Linked DNA regions of Tamandua tetradactyla. The protein of the gene in region 1 purifies or fractionates together with the protein of each later gene. This does not show direct contact. Links are inferred from orthologs where the notes say so. Each region holds a gene or a part of one and is shown in the gene's direction. Other genes may lie near its edges.

Region 1 (8,569 bases):
TTAAATTCTATGATTTTGGTGCAGAAGAAACCTACTGTATTAAACATATTATCCCATTCAATTTTGTGTATCAATAAAGTGGCAAATTAACTCTAAATTTAAGGATATAGATGATTAGAATCCCAGTAATTTCCTTTCAATATAGTTTATCAGGCGTTTATTAAACATTCACTACTTTTACTATCTAAGGAGTGGCTAAGGGCAAACTCCTAAATGTCACTCTAAGATACTTGTATTTATAGTTATTTATGACCTTAAAATTTTATAGAAATTATTGTATATGTGTATTTTTCTCTGGGAAGCATGCTTTCATCAGATACTCATAGGTATCCACAGTCCTCAAAATTTTAACAACCACTCTAAAATAATTATAGCATTACCTCATTAAGTATTAGGTAAATAATTTTCCTCATGAATATTGAAAATTTGCATTCTTTTTCCTACCAGAATTATACAATTGAAATTTACAATTCGTGGATATGGGATATGCGAGTTTTTTTTTTCTTTTTTCTGGTGTGATGCAAATTTTCAAAAAAATGATCATGGTGATGAATACAAAACTATGTGATGATATTGGGAGCCACTGATTGTATAATGTGGATGGACTGTATGTATATGAAGATTTCTTATTAAAAAATTTTTAAAAACCCAATTCAATTAGTAAATCTTAAATCAATTTGATTTAAATTAGATTCTCATTCGTGCTTCTGTTTTTTACAGTGTCTGAACATTTCTTAAAAGGCAAAATGATATTATCATCCTACTGTGCAATTTCCATCTGGCATTAAGCATTCTTAAAAGAATGTTTAACGTTAATCAGTTTTTTTTTGTTGTTGTTTTTTAACATTTTAATCTCTATTCTTCAAATTAAGTTTCATTATAAAAAGGAATTTAAATCTCTTTCATTGTTTTAAATTGCACTATGGAAAGAATTTGGAAGGAAATGAAGAAAAAGGAGACGGAACCTTCTTTTCTTAAGAGACGAGGAGAGGGAAAAAAATCTACAAAAGTTAAAAGAAGGAAGTTATGAAAAAGGTGTCTTCTCAACAGAGCATTTGGCAAGGAAAACCTTCAAATTCATCTATTCACAAATTTTTCTTTTACTAACGGTTATTCTCTTCAGATTGCATACCCTCTTCCGCACTTAACCGAGAAACCGAGATACAAGAAGTCAGGCTCCAAGTGGGAACACAGGAACCGAATCAGCAAGAGAGAACTAAAATGCCAAAGAAAGCGATATTAGCAAGATTGGGCAAAAATATAAGGTATGACACAGTAAAGAGGACATAAGACGAGAACACAGACCGGGAAGCTCTCCTCAGTCCAGACGCGCGGGATGCTGGCGCCGAGGTCACTGCAGAGGGCTAAGCCCGGGGCCTCGCCCACCCCGGGGAAGTCTCGGCCAGGCGCCCCGCCCACCCGAGAGAGGTCTCGGGCCAGGATCCCGCCCATCCCGGAGAGGGTTCGGGCCAGGGCCCCGCCCACCCAGGAAACGGTACGGCCATGGGCCCCGCCCACCCGGGAGAGGTCTCGGCCAGGGGCCCCGCCCACCCGAGAGAGGCCTCAAGCAGGGGCCCCGCCCACCCGAGAGAGGCCTCAGGCAGGAGCCCCGCCCACCCGAGAGAGGCCTCAGGCAGGGGCCCCGCCCACTCGCTGAGTACGACTGAAACAATGCCCTGGTTTTTCTAGGCAGACAACCATGAACGTATGAAGACTTTTAATCATTCTTCCAAAGTTTGAGTAGTTCTCTCCAAAGAGCAGGAAGTGTAACAGCAATACACTGTGTAACAATTTGTAGATCTACTGTAAATTATTAAGATTATAATGGAACATTTCAGCATAATTCATTTAATGAAACTAAAGACTAACGGGATATATAAATCTCAATTCAGGCAACTTCTAGCTGTGTAAATATCAGCAAGTTACTCAAAAAATGGTTTTAAAATACTACCTAGTTTCTTAAGAGGACGAAATGAATTAATATATACAAAGCATTTAGAACAGCGTATTTAGTAAAGATTAGCTATTATCATTATTAAAGTATATTGATTTTTCTAAAGAAAATACCCTTCTGTTCAAATAATTAAAACTACATATTTCTGAAGTAGTTTTATTTATAGAAAACTCGACTATTGGACAGGATAGTCTAACCGACCCTTGAAATCATAAAATATGGTTAAGTACTTTAGAGATAAAACATATGATTCTTGTTTATTCAATCTTAACTGTTCCAGCAGTTTCAGCATTTGTCAGTTTCTGTGCCTTCATTTTGTGTCTTTCACCCAAGACAATGTGAAATTATTTTGTTTCTGTACAGGATTAGAAAAAAATTCATAACATTATCTTGTATAAAGTTTTCAACTTCTTAAGAAAAGGTGATAAGTTACAGAACTATGATACTTCCAAGTAACAGAATCACTGGATTTTGGTTGCTGAGAGCTACCAAACTGTTTATAGGATCAGTGGGTTTTAGTCAGTAATGAGTCACTGCATCTGAACTACCCTGAAAACAATGTGCATATTCCACATGCTCAACTGAAGTCATTATCATTTTCTCTCAATCTGCAAGAGCAGATATTACACTGGTTTGTTGCCATTATACAAATATTTTCAGGTAAATATTAAGCTAAACCAAATAAAATTGCAGAAAATTGGCAATTTCACATGGTTCAGTTTAAATGCATTCTAACATTATTTTTAAAACTTTGTTGGGGAAAAATAGATTTTCGGTTTGTTAGTTTACCAGAACAGTTGTTTTTGTTTTATAGAATCACTTTTAAGAGCTTTCATTATATTAGAAAAAGTTAATGCAGTTTGACCGTGCCATAAACGTTGAACTTTGTATTTGTGGTGATGCTTTGCACATAGTACTGGTAGTGCATGTCAGTTTTTTGACTAAATTAATATTAGTAAAACATATCAATTTTTAACGGTTGTCTTTTTTGCAGAAAAATATTTAATATAAAAACATGAAACAGTGGCTCGAATATTAAACTTCTTGTTCTTTGTACTCAATTTATACTAATATATACTTTCCATGCACAGTCACTGAAGTCTTTAATTCTTTCATCAGATATTTATGGAACCCTTATTGTGTTCCAGGTACCGTGACAGTGCCTAGAGATAAACTATCAAACAATATGATGACTGCAGGAAGGAGCATGAAGTAAATACTAAGGGAGAAACCATCTTGGAGGAAGTGGGTGGAAAACTCGGGAAATTTTAAAAAAGAGAAACACTAGAGGGGATACTTTAAGTATAAATGGACTCATAATGATTTTGTTTCCTAATGATGAAAATTATTTTGAAAATTCTAAAATTCAACGAGTAAAATTGTAAGCATACGCAAAAAACTATGGCTTGTATTGACCATGATCATCCAAGGCAAATTATTCAAGTGTAGACATAAAAATTCCAATTTCAGATAGTCAATTTGTGTAATGCAAAACATTTATATCTAGAAGGTAGTCTTTGTTTTCACCCACACCGATACATCTTTTCAATTTACTTGTAAATGTAGAATATATCTCATCAACTTATTTGTAAATGATTGCTATGAAGTTGCCACTGATTTCCACTCAGATTAAATTTAAGTAATATCTCTTCTTTCTGAGTATGAAAATATGTTTTAATTTGTCAAAAGGTCATCAGGCAAGATCATAATTATGTACTTATTGTGGGAAAAAATAACTTATTATTGCCCAGCTGAACTACAATTTCACATTTCCAAACGCCTAAAAACATTTCTATTTGGAGGTCCCAACATAACCTCAAACACAATCTGTTCATTGAATTAACAAATAAGAGAACACCTTCTAAAGCTAGACAGACACAGGGCAGAGAGAGCACAGTTAAAATCACAATATGACAATATACAAGATTCAGTCCAATGTAGGAAAAAAGTACAAGCAAGTCGTTGTGGGAGGCAGTGAAAGACTAATGAAGAAAGTAATATACTGGATTTAAAAAAAAGAGTTGGAATTTGCCTTCTTAATTTTTTTCTCCCAATAAGTTTGTGTGTTAATTTCATGGCCACTAAAGACCAGGTCAAGTTCATCCTTCTCTGATCAAAACTAAATTAAACCTTTTGATGGTTACTAACAACACTTCCATATTTAACTGCTATTCTTAGGGGAAGGGACCATCTCGTTCTCTTACGGGGAGTATGGATAAATCTCACAACAGGTCTTCAAATACCTACCAATTGGATACAATTGGACACATTCTTTTCATTTCTTAATACCTTTTGCTAGTATTACTTCGATTATATAGTATTATGAGTACAAGAAACAAAACCAAACAAAAAAGTCAAATCATTCTGTGTCAAAAAAAAGCGAAATCAAGCTGCATCTATGACATGTCTGATTAGTGAAACTTTAATTCAATCCATAAAAATAAATTAAATTAAATGCATAATTGATTAAAAAGCAGGGAAGTTAGTGGCTAGCTTCAAGTCAGGCTTTTATTGCTTCCTGCGATGTAAACTGTTAAAAAAGAAACCCATGAAGTTTAAATTCAGACAGAATCGTTTTATACAAATGGGGATTTAATCTACCAAGAAACGCAAATTTTTACCTTATTTTTTTCTTGCAAAAAAATGCAACTTTTCTCCTTCCTTCATTGTGAGGCTGCAAACGTATCTCAAAAGAAATAAATGCTAAATTTGAAGACTCTTTCGAACATCTCTATAACTTCATGCCTTACTACCCGCACAGTTAAATGCGTAAACAAGAACTATCTCCTCCCTCCAAAATCCCTGTACGGGGAGATTTTTGCAGGCCAGCTCTTAGCTCTTGGAGAATGCCAAATTCATACCCCGGAGTCTTCCAGAGGGTCAGCTGGGGTCGGGGACGCTGGATTCCGCCCCCAGCCGCAGGAACCTTTATCCTTTCCACACACCCCGCATTGCATCCGAGTAACCCAAAGACACCGGGGGCCTTAACAATCTGTGTCTAATGCACTACCCATCTTTACAGCTTTGGAGTTTTCTTAAAGCAAAACAGAAACACCGCCAGGCCCGGGCACACGAAAACACCAGCCCTAGCGCCGGCTCAGCCCACCGTCCTCCCGGTTCTCACGGCCCCGCCCATCGCTTGACAGCCAGCCAATGGCATGCGAGGACTCTCGGAAGCGCGATGTCGTCAGCGCTTACGCCCGCGTGATGACGAAGGCGGCGTCATCGTCTCCAAGGAGCGGCCCAGGGCACCGGTTTCAAAGTCGCTGGGCGGGCCGAGTGGACTTCTGCGGCTGGCCCCGGGCTGCCCGGCAGTTCTGGTGTCGCCCCGCGCACCGCGGAGGACGCCGCCACCAGGCTGCCCCGCCGTTTCCCTAGGCGCGGGGCTCGGCGGCCCGATAGGTCGGCGGGTGAGCCGCAGGACGCCGGTAGCGGCCCGCGTCCCCTTCCCTCCCCGGCGGGATTCTCGGCGCGGCCCCTGCAAACCTGAAGTCTGAAGTCTGGCGCCGGGGCGAGGGACTCGGCCGGGAGTCGGGCGGAGGAGGCGCGGTGGACGCGCGTGAGGAGGATGCTGATCACGCCGCTCAGCGCTTAACGACCTCTGGAGCGTTGCCTTAGTTTTTGTTTGCTCGCCCAGCCAGCTGTGCCTTTCGGAGGGAGACCACGGTGGTGCAAACTTCTAACGAAAATAGGATCGAAATGGCCACAGAAATCGACTTTCTGAGAGATCAAAGTAAGATCCATGTTCCTTTCTTGAGAATTCGTCTGTGTCATGTTTAATGTCGTCCTCGTTGGCCAGCTGATTTTTCTGGCTGCTTGTTTGGTACGTGGAAATTTGTAAAAACCTAAAGAAGTTAGCCTCGGAGAAAGCTTAGTGGCATACGTTAAGAATATGTGTGTACTTGAGCATGACAGTTCGGTAAATACTTGTAGGTTTCTTGAGCTTGCAGGAGACTCCACTAGTCAGTAGACGTTTGTTATGCTTTCGGCGTGCTCGGAAGAAATTAGAAGGCCAGCGGCCAGGAACGGTGTCCAAGTGTGCAGTTAGAATCTGGAGGCTGCTCTGGCCATTCATTCGAAAGATGTTTATTGAGCTTTTCCTGCTTCTGTTATTTGTAACGTAGCTGCTACAGACTTAAAGAGGACAGTTCTGCCCTCTAAGAATTTAATTTGGGAAAGGAAACAGGTAAACCCCATCAAGACACTGAAGTGGCAGCAATTGAAAACACTTTTGTCTCAGCTTCCGAATTGGGTTGTTGGAATGATTAAATGAGCATTAAAATATGTAAAGAATTTAGAATAGTGCCTGACACATAGTGAGTGCTAGACACTGCCCTACCTTTTACTGTTAAAGGGTTGTTATAAACTGTGGTCAGGAAAGTTTCCATTTGAGGTGAAACTTAAGTTACTAATACGAATTTTCTAGATAAAGAACTGTGTAAGACAGCCCAAATAGAACAGTGTTCGCAATATCAGGGCATTAGGAATATGCTTGGTTAAAGGCATGCAAGGAGGATGACTTGACTAGAGTATGGAGGTTTATGTAAGGGAATGGCAGGTGTTGCTGAAGGGGTGGAGTGGGGCTAGGTACTAAAGAGCCTTGTTGGTATGTGTTATGGGGTTTGGACCATTGCACAGATTGCGGGAACCACTGAAAGGAATTAAGTTGAGAGTGACCTGATCAAGTTGTTATTTGAAAAACCCATTCTTTGAAAAGAAACATGCATAATGGCATAGAGTACCTAAGTGACTATTTAATCATCCAGGTAAAACAGAACTAAAATAAGCAAAGTGAGATTGGAGATCAGGGGATTTGAGATAAAGAGGTAGAGGGCAACTCAGGTCTTTGGCTTGAGCCACAGACAAGGTAGAAGAAAAATGTTAAATTTCATTTTAGAGTCATTATAGACCAATGGTTAAGAACTCAACCTTTGAAAGTCCTCTTGGGGGACTGGGGAGAAAGGAGTAAATGTTCAACTTCCCCATCTGGGGAATTCCTCCCAAGCAGTAGGGACAACCAGTTCAATAGGCTAAGCCCTTGATCTTGGGGCTCATCCCTATGAAATGTATTCCTGCAAAGGAGAAGCTGAGCCTACTTAAAATTATGTTTAAGAGTCACCCCCAGAGAACCTCTGTTGTTGCTCAGATGTGCCCTCTCTCTCTAAGCCCACCAGGCAGGTAAACTCACTACCCTCCTCCCACTGTGTGGGACATGACTCCCAGAGGTAAATCTCCCTGGCAGCATGGGACAGAAGGCCTGGAATAAGCCAGGACCCAGCACTAAGGGATTGAGAAAGCCTACGTGACCAAAAGGGGGAAGAGAAAAATGAGACAAAATAAAGTCACAGTGGCTGAGAGTTTTCAAACAGAGTTGAGAGGTTATCCTGGAAGTTATTCGTATGCAGTATATAGATATCCCTTTTTAGTGTATAGTGTGTTGGGGCAGGAGGGAAGTACCTGAAACTGTTGAGCTGTGTTCGAGTAGTCTTGATTCTTGCAAGTGATTGTATAATGATGTAGCTTTTACAGTGTGACTGTGTGATTGTGAAAACCTTGTGTCTAATGCTCCTTTTATCCAACGTATGATGAGTTTAAAAATAAGGCTAAAAAATAAATAATAGAGGGCATAAAGGGCAAAAAACTGAGTAGATTGATACACTAGTGGTCAGTGAGAGGGAGGGGTAAAGAGTATGAGATGTATGAGTGTTTTCTTTTTATTTCTTTTTCTGGAGTGATGCAAATGTTCTAAAAGTGATCATGGTGATGAACACACAACTAGTGAAGGTATTGTGAGCCATTGATTGTATACTATGTATGAACTGTGTGTATGTGTAAAGATTTCTCAGTAAAAATATTTATAAAAAACAAGAACTCAGCCTTTAGATTCAGTCTGCCTGGATCCACATCTCAGCTCTACCTCTTTTTAGGTCTTTGACTGAGGGCCAGATTACTTGGCTTCTTTGTGTCTCAGTTTTCTCATTTACAAAATGGGAATAATAACACCATGTGTTGTGAGAATTAAAAAAGATTTTTACAAATAAAGCACTTAGTGTGATGTCTTGCACGTATTAAGTGAACTGTATATAGTACCTAAAATTATTGATAATACAATAATGACTCTAGAATAGTATCAGTATCAGTTTGAGGTGGGAAGATCCCTTATCCCCTGAGGCCACCATCAGAGTGGTGTGGGACAAAAGAATTGGAAGGGGTAAGCAGAGTACCTCAGGCAGTCAAAAACTATGAGTTTTAAAGGAATGAGCCAGCCAGAATACTTAGGTAAAATTGTGGTCCAAATGCTAGAGAGAATCAAATGAGACAGGCAAAGCATAGTAAATTACTTCTTGAAAAAATGTGTGGTTTTACACTAGAAAACAAGTGGGAGAATGGAATCTCAGACAAAGGGAGCAAAAGCGGAACAGGCTCAGATGCTTAAAAACATAGTGCTTATTCATGGAATGATAAAGTTTGCATGAAGAAATGAGAATGAATGTCAGGTGTCTATAAACCTCCCTTTTTTTCTTTTCACTGGACCTATCTTACCCCTAAGGTGAACTACCTGAATACCAGCTCAGATAAATATAGATGACTTGCCTTCCTCCCACTATCTTTGAC
Region 2 (7,890 bases), on another chromosome or scaffold:
ACAGAGCCTGCTCTAGATAGTTCTTCACTATAGCCCTGACTTCATTATGTAATTCTCTCTTCTTGGGCATCAACTCTTAATCTCAAAGTTCCAGGTTTGCAGTCTTTCTTACCACCTGGACAGTCACATAAATCCTTATCAAGAATTTTGTGGAAAGATGTGTTAATACATCTATATAATCTCGGCATGGGTTGCTTGTTATTAGTCAGGATAAACAGAGCCAGTGCTGAAACAACCTCAGAATATCAGTATCTTGACACAATAAAGGTTTATTTCTTACAAGAGTACCCAGTACTCTTTGCAGTCCTTCACTCTTCTTCTAGGGCCCCAGAATTCGCCACTGGATTCTCTGCACCCAGCTGGCCAACTAGCAAAGGCTGTGGAAGAGACTGCAGGATGTTTTGGGGGTCAGGCCTGGAAGTGTCTATTCTACTCACATTTCGTTGGCCGGAACTTAGTCATTTGGACCCACCTACTGCTAGAAAGGACGGAAAACGTAGCTCTTCTGAGTGCTAAGGAGGAAACTCAAACGAATAGTGTGGCACAGCATGTAGAAAAATGCATCCTATGCAAATGCATTATTTCCCAAACAATGAAACATTTATATGTAAAACCCATCCCTGTATATATTTTACACATTTCTTACAAGGAAAATAAAAAATATCAGTAGGTGTTGTTTTGATCAAAACAGACTCTGAAAACCAAAGTATAGAAGAAGTTTATTGAACTAAAGCAGTATTAATGCAGAACAGCATTAAAAGGTTACTGCTCAAAAGGCAAGTTCTGGGAAGGCAGTATATATGGCTTCTAGGAACAAAGAGAGGGATGGGAATGGAGAGGTGGAGCAAGGGAGAGTGAGCTATGGGAGTTGCTTGGGGCAGGATGTCCTTGGGCCATGTTTCACTAATTTTGTAACTTGGACAGGCAGGATGTCTTTGCAGCAGCAAGGTTATCTAGCGGAGATAAGCAAGTTTGCTGGCGTCAGCATGGCGAGAGCATGCTTCTTTTCTGCAAGAGCAGAGGCCTTAGTAAGCACCGTGAAGGATTATTGGTATGTCAGCCTGACTCAGTTGTTCTCTGTTTCTTCTTTGTAGTTCCCTGGATAAAGAGGAAGCAAGCATATCAAGTTGATTAGTGAAGCTATTAACCATTTCATTTTCACAGTCTCAAACATCGAGTTTCAAGGCCATGTAGAATGGAGGATAAGAGCATGTAGGTTTTTGAACCAGAACAGGACTGTGTTTGAATCCAAAGGCTACCACTAGCTTGACAAAAACACATTTGGGCAAGAAGCTTATGTTTGCAATGTTTCAATGAGGCAATAAATGTTTAGAAGAGTATCCGTGTTCAGTGGCAGGAAGGGTTACACACACACACATACATGTGATATCACAGCTTTATAGCATTTCCCATACTTTGTATGTTTGATTCATATCTACTTTCAAACTGAATTTTCTTCTAGTACAAGATGCAAAGGCTAATACTGCTGCATAGTGATTGCAAAATAAAATACTTTTCCATGTTCACATCCAAATAATAATCTACTCAAATATACAAGATTTCATTTTAAAATTATACTGTTTACATTTTGAAATGTATTTTCAAAATCAATTTTCCATGTATTTTCAAAATCAATTTTCCATTCATTGATTCAAGTACAAAAACAGCACTTTCATATGGGCTTACCCTAGGATCTATGTGACTACTGGTCAGAGACACGGGCTTTTCCTTGGTGTTTGCTTAATGGGATTATTAGGGGCCCATGTTTTGAACTAGATTCATTAATATTACATAGAATACAAGCTGTGAGACTTTGCCCAAGTGCCTTACCTGCCATGAACTTTTTCCCTCCTTTCTAAAATGAGTTAGACTCCCTCTAACTTCTAGCTAAGACATTCTATGATTTACAAGGAATCTGCCATCTAGGCAGATTCTCGATGACCCACAGTCCAAGAATAACTAAAAGCAGAGCTTCTTATAGAAATCAGCTCTGCTAATATAAAGGAATTTAAAAATATTAAGGAAGAGTGCTCCAGCTAATTAAATACTCTAAGTGAAGAACCTTGAATTTATTGAAAGTCTGGAACCATTTAGAATGCATAATTTTAGCATAAATACTCTAGAAATATTCATTTTGCTTGCTATGTGCTATTGTTAATAAAGAGGGTCTTGCATCTAGATGGCATATGTCACTAATGAATCAACAATAGAATGCAAATTACAATTATTTTGAATTTTCTATTTACTGTTTAATTAAATTTAAGTTTTAGGCTCTCCTAAAATGGCCCAATAAAAATTTGGGATGCTGAATGCTTACTCTGTGCTATTGGCTGAAAATAATTAGTTATATTAATTGTTTGGGAGCATTTTTCCCCTTAAAAAACTAATCTGAGTGGAGGTGGACCTAAACAAAACATGCTAAATGTGTAACATTTTTTTTTGGCCAGGGTTGTAGTAAAATGTGCTAAAACCGATAAATCTTTCTACACTACCACTGAATCAATTTGGTATAACGATTTGATAGAACACACTAAATAAAAGTAACATCAGTACCATGCTTAGACCCTTTCTGGCCCCTCTTTGCCCTGCCACTTTTAGAACATACTCTGTATACCCAGAAAGCTGACATCCCCTGTTCAGATGGGCCCCAGCTCCTTTTCAAAGCCTTGAGAGATTTTTCAAGGGCCCTTCATCGCAAGAGTGACCATCAACTTGGCATGCTCATCCACAGGGCCTCATGCCAAGGGACGGCTGCAGTGGGGGTGCAGACAGAGCTGGGACTTGTAGACAGGGGGAAGGGTCCATGTGCATCCCAGCCTGTGAGTGAGGACCCTAATAGTTCAGGACAGCCTGGCTGGGAAATGACCAGCTGGGCTGGGAATGGAGTCAGTTGTTGTGAAGGCAATTAGCCAAGGTAGGAAGAGAGAACATATTTCATGAAGATCTTATCTTGATTTATAACTTTTTAACATTTAGACAGACCCTATGAGGGCCTCCATTTGTACTCTTGTCGTGGGCCTGGCAAATGAGAAGGGAAGGCTGAGGGGCATTATAATTTTATATTGTTGACCTGAGAGTCTTCCAAATCTCTTACTAACCACCAGTTTACTGGTTTCAGTCACACCTTTCAGCTTTTGGTGAAATTAATAGCTGACAAAAGAAACCCAAAGGAGTGGAGAATAAGTGACTAAATAAATGTTTTAGTTTCTTTTGCTTCTGTCTTGTGGATTTTGGAATATGGTTGTTTTTCTTCAGGAGGCATTTCCCACAGTGATGATGATGGTTAAAGCTGATACTAAGTGCTGGCTCCCCGTATAGACACCATACCCACACCGACTAATCTAATCCTATAACGACATGGCTGGGTCCTCAGTAGTAGCCTCCTCACTTTACATCTGAGCAAACCTGGTTTCATGAAGGTTGGAGAGTTGGAAAAGGTCACACAGCTGGTTGGAGGAAGAGGGGAGTTTAGCCCGGCAGCGTGGCTCCAGAGTCCCTGTTACGGACGTTGGTACATGGTCCATCCGACCATCGGAAGCAACTTTTCCCTTTCCACCCATCTGCGATGTCACCTGCAGCATTACCCTGCCTTGGAAGGCCCCTTCTTTTAGTTCCACGTGCTTCGGGACAGTACGGATCTTCAAGGAAAGGCTTGTGCTGTGAGAGCTGAGCACATCTGTTCAGTATTTTGGTGTTTTGTCTTTTTTTTTTTTTTTTTCTGGTGTTTTGTTTTGCCTTTAAGTGCAATTAAATTTGCCTTTAATTTGCTTAGGCGAATAAGCTAAGCGCAGTGCGTGGCACTCCGCAAGCCCTGAGAAGGCGGGAGGGAGGGAGAGAATGCACCCTGTAAAATCGATGCAACTGGATGCCAAAGACCAAACTAATCAAGTTAATTGTTCCCGCCAGCCCCCATCCTCCACCCAAGGAGATCGAGGGCCGGCTTCTGACTGTCGCCGGACAAGAAAGGCTTAGCCTTCAGAAAGTCTCTCTTGCGAACTGCGAAGGGTCAGTGGAAGGGACAGGCTGGTCTCCAGGCCGCCCAGGCCGCCACCCGGCAGTCCGCCCCGCCCCTCCTGGAGCCTCGGGTCCCCTAGGAACCGGCCGGCCCGCCCCTCAACGAGGCCCCGCCCCCCACACGACCCAACCGCGTCCTCTCCAAGGCCTGCGCCCCGCCCCCTGCACAGCCTCCGCCCCTCCCTGGCACGGGCCCACCTCTGCAAGGCCCCCGCCCCGCCCCTCCACGGCCTGCGCCCCGCCCACTGCACGGCGTCTCCGCGTCGTGTTTACTCGCGGTGCATGGTGGGTCCGTCGCCTCGGACAACCCAGGTCATCTGGCTGCCACAGGCCACGCGAAGTGGGCGCCATGCGTCAGGCCTCCGCACCGTCCGCGCCCCTGGTCAGCCCGGACTACTACGAGAAGTTGGGCCGCCTCCAGCACGGGCTGCGGGACAGGTACGGCCAGTCGGGGGACGGGGGCGGGGGCGGTGTCTCAACCTGCGCGGAGTGTCTTCTGGGTGCCCTCCTCCCCACTATCCCGGTCTGTGGTTGCGCGGGGTCGGGTCTGCCCGCGACGCCCCCAAGCGCCCACTGGGGCCTGGAAGACAAAGTTTGTCAGAGTCACCCCCTGCATTGGAAGTGAAGACCGTTAACAGCAACGGAAGCCCCTCTTCCGCTTGAGAATGGCCCGTGGCACTGAATTTGTCCGTGAGAGTGCGAGTCCTCCTGCCTGTCACTCTCCTTCAAGCCTTGTGAATTTCTGTAGTCCCCTCTGCACGGCTTCTCCCCAGTGTCTCTTCAAATTGTCATCCCACCCTGACAGCTGCACTGCATCGACGATGACAGGCTCAGAAATGCAGGTGGGAGCGTGAGTGTGTGGTGTTTGCATAAACATATGCCCTGCTGAAATGCAGGAGACTTTTTTGGGGGGAGGAGGCGGCTCGCCAGATTTCCATTAGAAGGACGAAATTTCCAGTGGAAAAGGCCAGCATCCAGAGGACTTCTTTGATAAGGACATGAAAGATGGGAACCCCTGAAAACAGGTAGATCTAAAAGTACAGTAAGGGAGAGAATTATGAAGCAATTAACCATAAATAACCACATGATAGATGAGTTATTGGAACTCTTATTTAGCTGCTAAATTAATTGGAGTCGAAAAATCTCATTAATTGGTAAGGCAAGAAATAGATTTTTGGATCTCTTGTTAAACAGAACGCTTGATGAGTGTTAAAAGTTATGAAACAATCATTCTAGTGAACAAGAAAGATGTGTCTGTGACAGTTCTAAAATGATAATTATGTGTAAGGTAAAGTAGAAGTACGTGGTTCTGAAAAGGAATAAAATGAATCTTATGTTAGAGCTAATTCTTGTTAAATATTTATAAGCACTGACAAAAAGCCTCTGTAATTGTCCTCACTATATTTTACTCCTTAATTCTTTCCTACATGCTATTTTTACCTCTGACATATTTTCTCACCCGCTTCAGTGACCTCTTCACCACTAACTTAAAAAAAAAAAAAAATCTCTTCCTGCAGAACCTCACCTGTCCCAATTGTTCTGACCTCAACATTCTTTAGCACCTTTGGTGACTGCGTAAGTCACATGCTCCCAGTCTAAACTGAGAATTCTAGGAGGGCAGGAGCCATAACCAATTGGCACCTTAGCTGGGATTAGAGTATCTGAGGTGAAAGAGGTGCTTGATAAATGTTTTTCATATAAATGGAAGAAATCCCAGAGTCAGCAGGCTAGTGTCCAGAAGTTAGGAAGGTCTTGTATAGAACCCAGTAGCCGCACATTATCATGAAATAATGATCATTTTCCAGTCAACCAAGACAACTGGATAGTGTGATAGATTCAAAGACTTTATTAATTTTCTACACATTCTTGATAATTGTAAGGCAAGACATTGCTTTGTGCTTCAGTATGCTTAACATGCTTTTTGGCTCAGCATCTGTTTTGTTAGAAGAGTAGCTTTGTTACCCCCAGCCTTTAGTTATTTACCCTTTTTAGCCGAGCCCTAATTTTAAAATATTACTGGTGTAAATGCATTGTTTTTGAACTGAGTTAATTGTGAGTTACTGTTTTTGCTTCCTGTACTGGGAACACCTGGCTGTTTATAGTCCTTATGGTATAATAACTGTGTAATGATGACTCACTTTATGTTTAACACTTACTGCTTTAACTATTAAGCAAGGTGACACTGTTGAAATTATCAGGAGTCAAATTTTATAGCCAATTAACATTTCTGCATTTGGACGTTTGTTTTAGTCAGTACAAATGTCGCTGTGTGTGTTCATTTTTCATTTTAAGAATTCATAACTAACTGATTAATGCACAGTTAACAAGCATAGAGGTGAATAGCTTTAGATAACAGAGAAAGCTGCAGTAGAAACGCAGAAACTTGGGTTCTAGTACATGAACATTTGTGTGACCTTGAGCAGGCCATTCGACCCTACTGAACCTTACTTTTTCACCATAAATGAGGGGGCTTGACTAATGTGTAAAGTAAGACTACAGATTTTTCCCCCTCTCCTCGAGTAATAGGCCTCAAAGTAAAAGAGTTTGAAAAGCAACAAGTAAAGAACATCGTTTTCTGTATCTAGTTGAGGGTTTGGATGCACTTTTTTTCTTGTAGTTTTAACCAACCCAGTGCCTATCGGGACCTATATCTCCTAAAATTCATTATCTCCTAAAATTCCAGAATTATTTCAAAGGCTGCAGTCACAGCAGCTTTATCAATCCAGAAATTGTTGGGGAGTAGGGTATTAAAAAATAAACTCACCTTTAATTGGCCCTTTTAGAGATGGGTCATTGCAGTGTTAGCTGGTCTGATAACTGGGGCCTTTTCTTTATAACTGGATTATGTCTAGCCCAAGTTATAATCAAGTCTTGCTGAATTTTTTTCCTTTGTATATGTTTTCCTACATTGTCTTGAAAGTCAATAATTGAACCTAAAATAGCCTAATGGAGTGACTTGTTACAGTGTATATAGTGCCACAAGCATGCTAGAAACATATAAGTGGAATTGACTCTTAGAATTACATAAAAACATCCTTTTAAAAGGCCCATTAGCCAGCCCCAGTATTTTCAATGCCAATATTGATTCAGGGTGAGATATCATAATAGTTCAGAAATTGACACTGAGATGTTAGTTGAATAAAGGTTGAGCATGATGGAGATTGAGGTTCTGAGACAAAAAAAGAGATTGATAGGTGGCTTAAAAGGAGAAAACTGAGCCACGTGGCTGTGCTTTAACAACTTCCCAGCCATGTAAAATTTCAAAGGGCCGGTAAGGGGTACAGGTGACTGAAATCAGGGATAATGGGTAAGCATCCCATGGCTGGGGGTTTCAGAGATTCTGAAATAGAGATTTAGTAGGTAGGAATTTCAAGTTGATCTTTCTGGTAAGCCTTTTTCTTGCTTTGATTGGGTTAAATATCTGGATTTAAGTCTTAAATTTAAAGCAGATGCAGAGGGCATGGGGAAGGGGTATGGATTCTTTGTGGAAGAAAAGGAAGTGTCTTCAGATAGATTAGGGTGGCGAAGGCATGTCTGTACACTTAGGTTGGATTATATAATGTATGAATAAAACTGTTGAAAAGTGAACAGAGAGAAATAAGTGCTAGAGGAAATGTGGAGAAAGAGATGTACCTATTCGCTGTCAATAGGGAAAATGAGAGGTGCAACCCCTTGGAGGGCAGAGGTTGGTTCCACTGGCGGCTAAGGGTAGGGTTAACATCTGATCCTGAAACCCTGTTGCTCAGTATACCTGGAGGAACTGAATGTGGGGACACATGCACATTGGTGTCTGTGACAGCGGTGTTCGCAATCCACAATGAATGGAGGCGGCCTCAACAGGTACAACAGAGGAGTGGAAGGGGGAACTGTGGTGAA

The links.
Region 2: the proteins of SCLT1 (region 1) and KIZ purify together in Homo sapiens (co-immunoprecipitation; 3 studies listed by BioGRID and IntAct, counting the BioPlex papers as one, with this or other methods). This does not show direct contact. The link is inferred for Tamandua tetradactyla from reciprocal best matches to the Homo sapiens genes SCLT1 and KIZ.

Annotation. Positions count from the first base shown.
Region 1 is NC_135348.1:39,195,395-39,203,963, forward strand, and holds the start of SCLT1 (sodium channel and clathrin linker 1), read left to right. Parts: upstream 1-5,195; 5' UTR 5,196-5,653; coding exon 5,654-5,687; intron 5,688-8,569. UniProt on the Homo sapiens protein: Adapter protein that links SCN10A to clathrin. Regulates SCN10A channel activity, possibly by promoting channel internalization.
Region 2 is NC_135327.1:39,084,348-39,092,237, reverse strand, and holds the start of KIZ (centrosomal protein kizuna), read left to right. Parts: upstream 1-4,258; 5' UTR 4,259-4,363; coding exon 4,364-4,452; intron 4,453-7,890. UniProt on the Homo sapiens protein: Centrosomal protein required for establishing a robust mitotic centrosome architecture that can endure the forces that converge on the centrosomes during spindle formation. Required for stabilizing the expanded pericentriolar material around the centriole.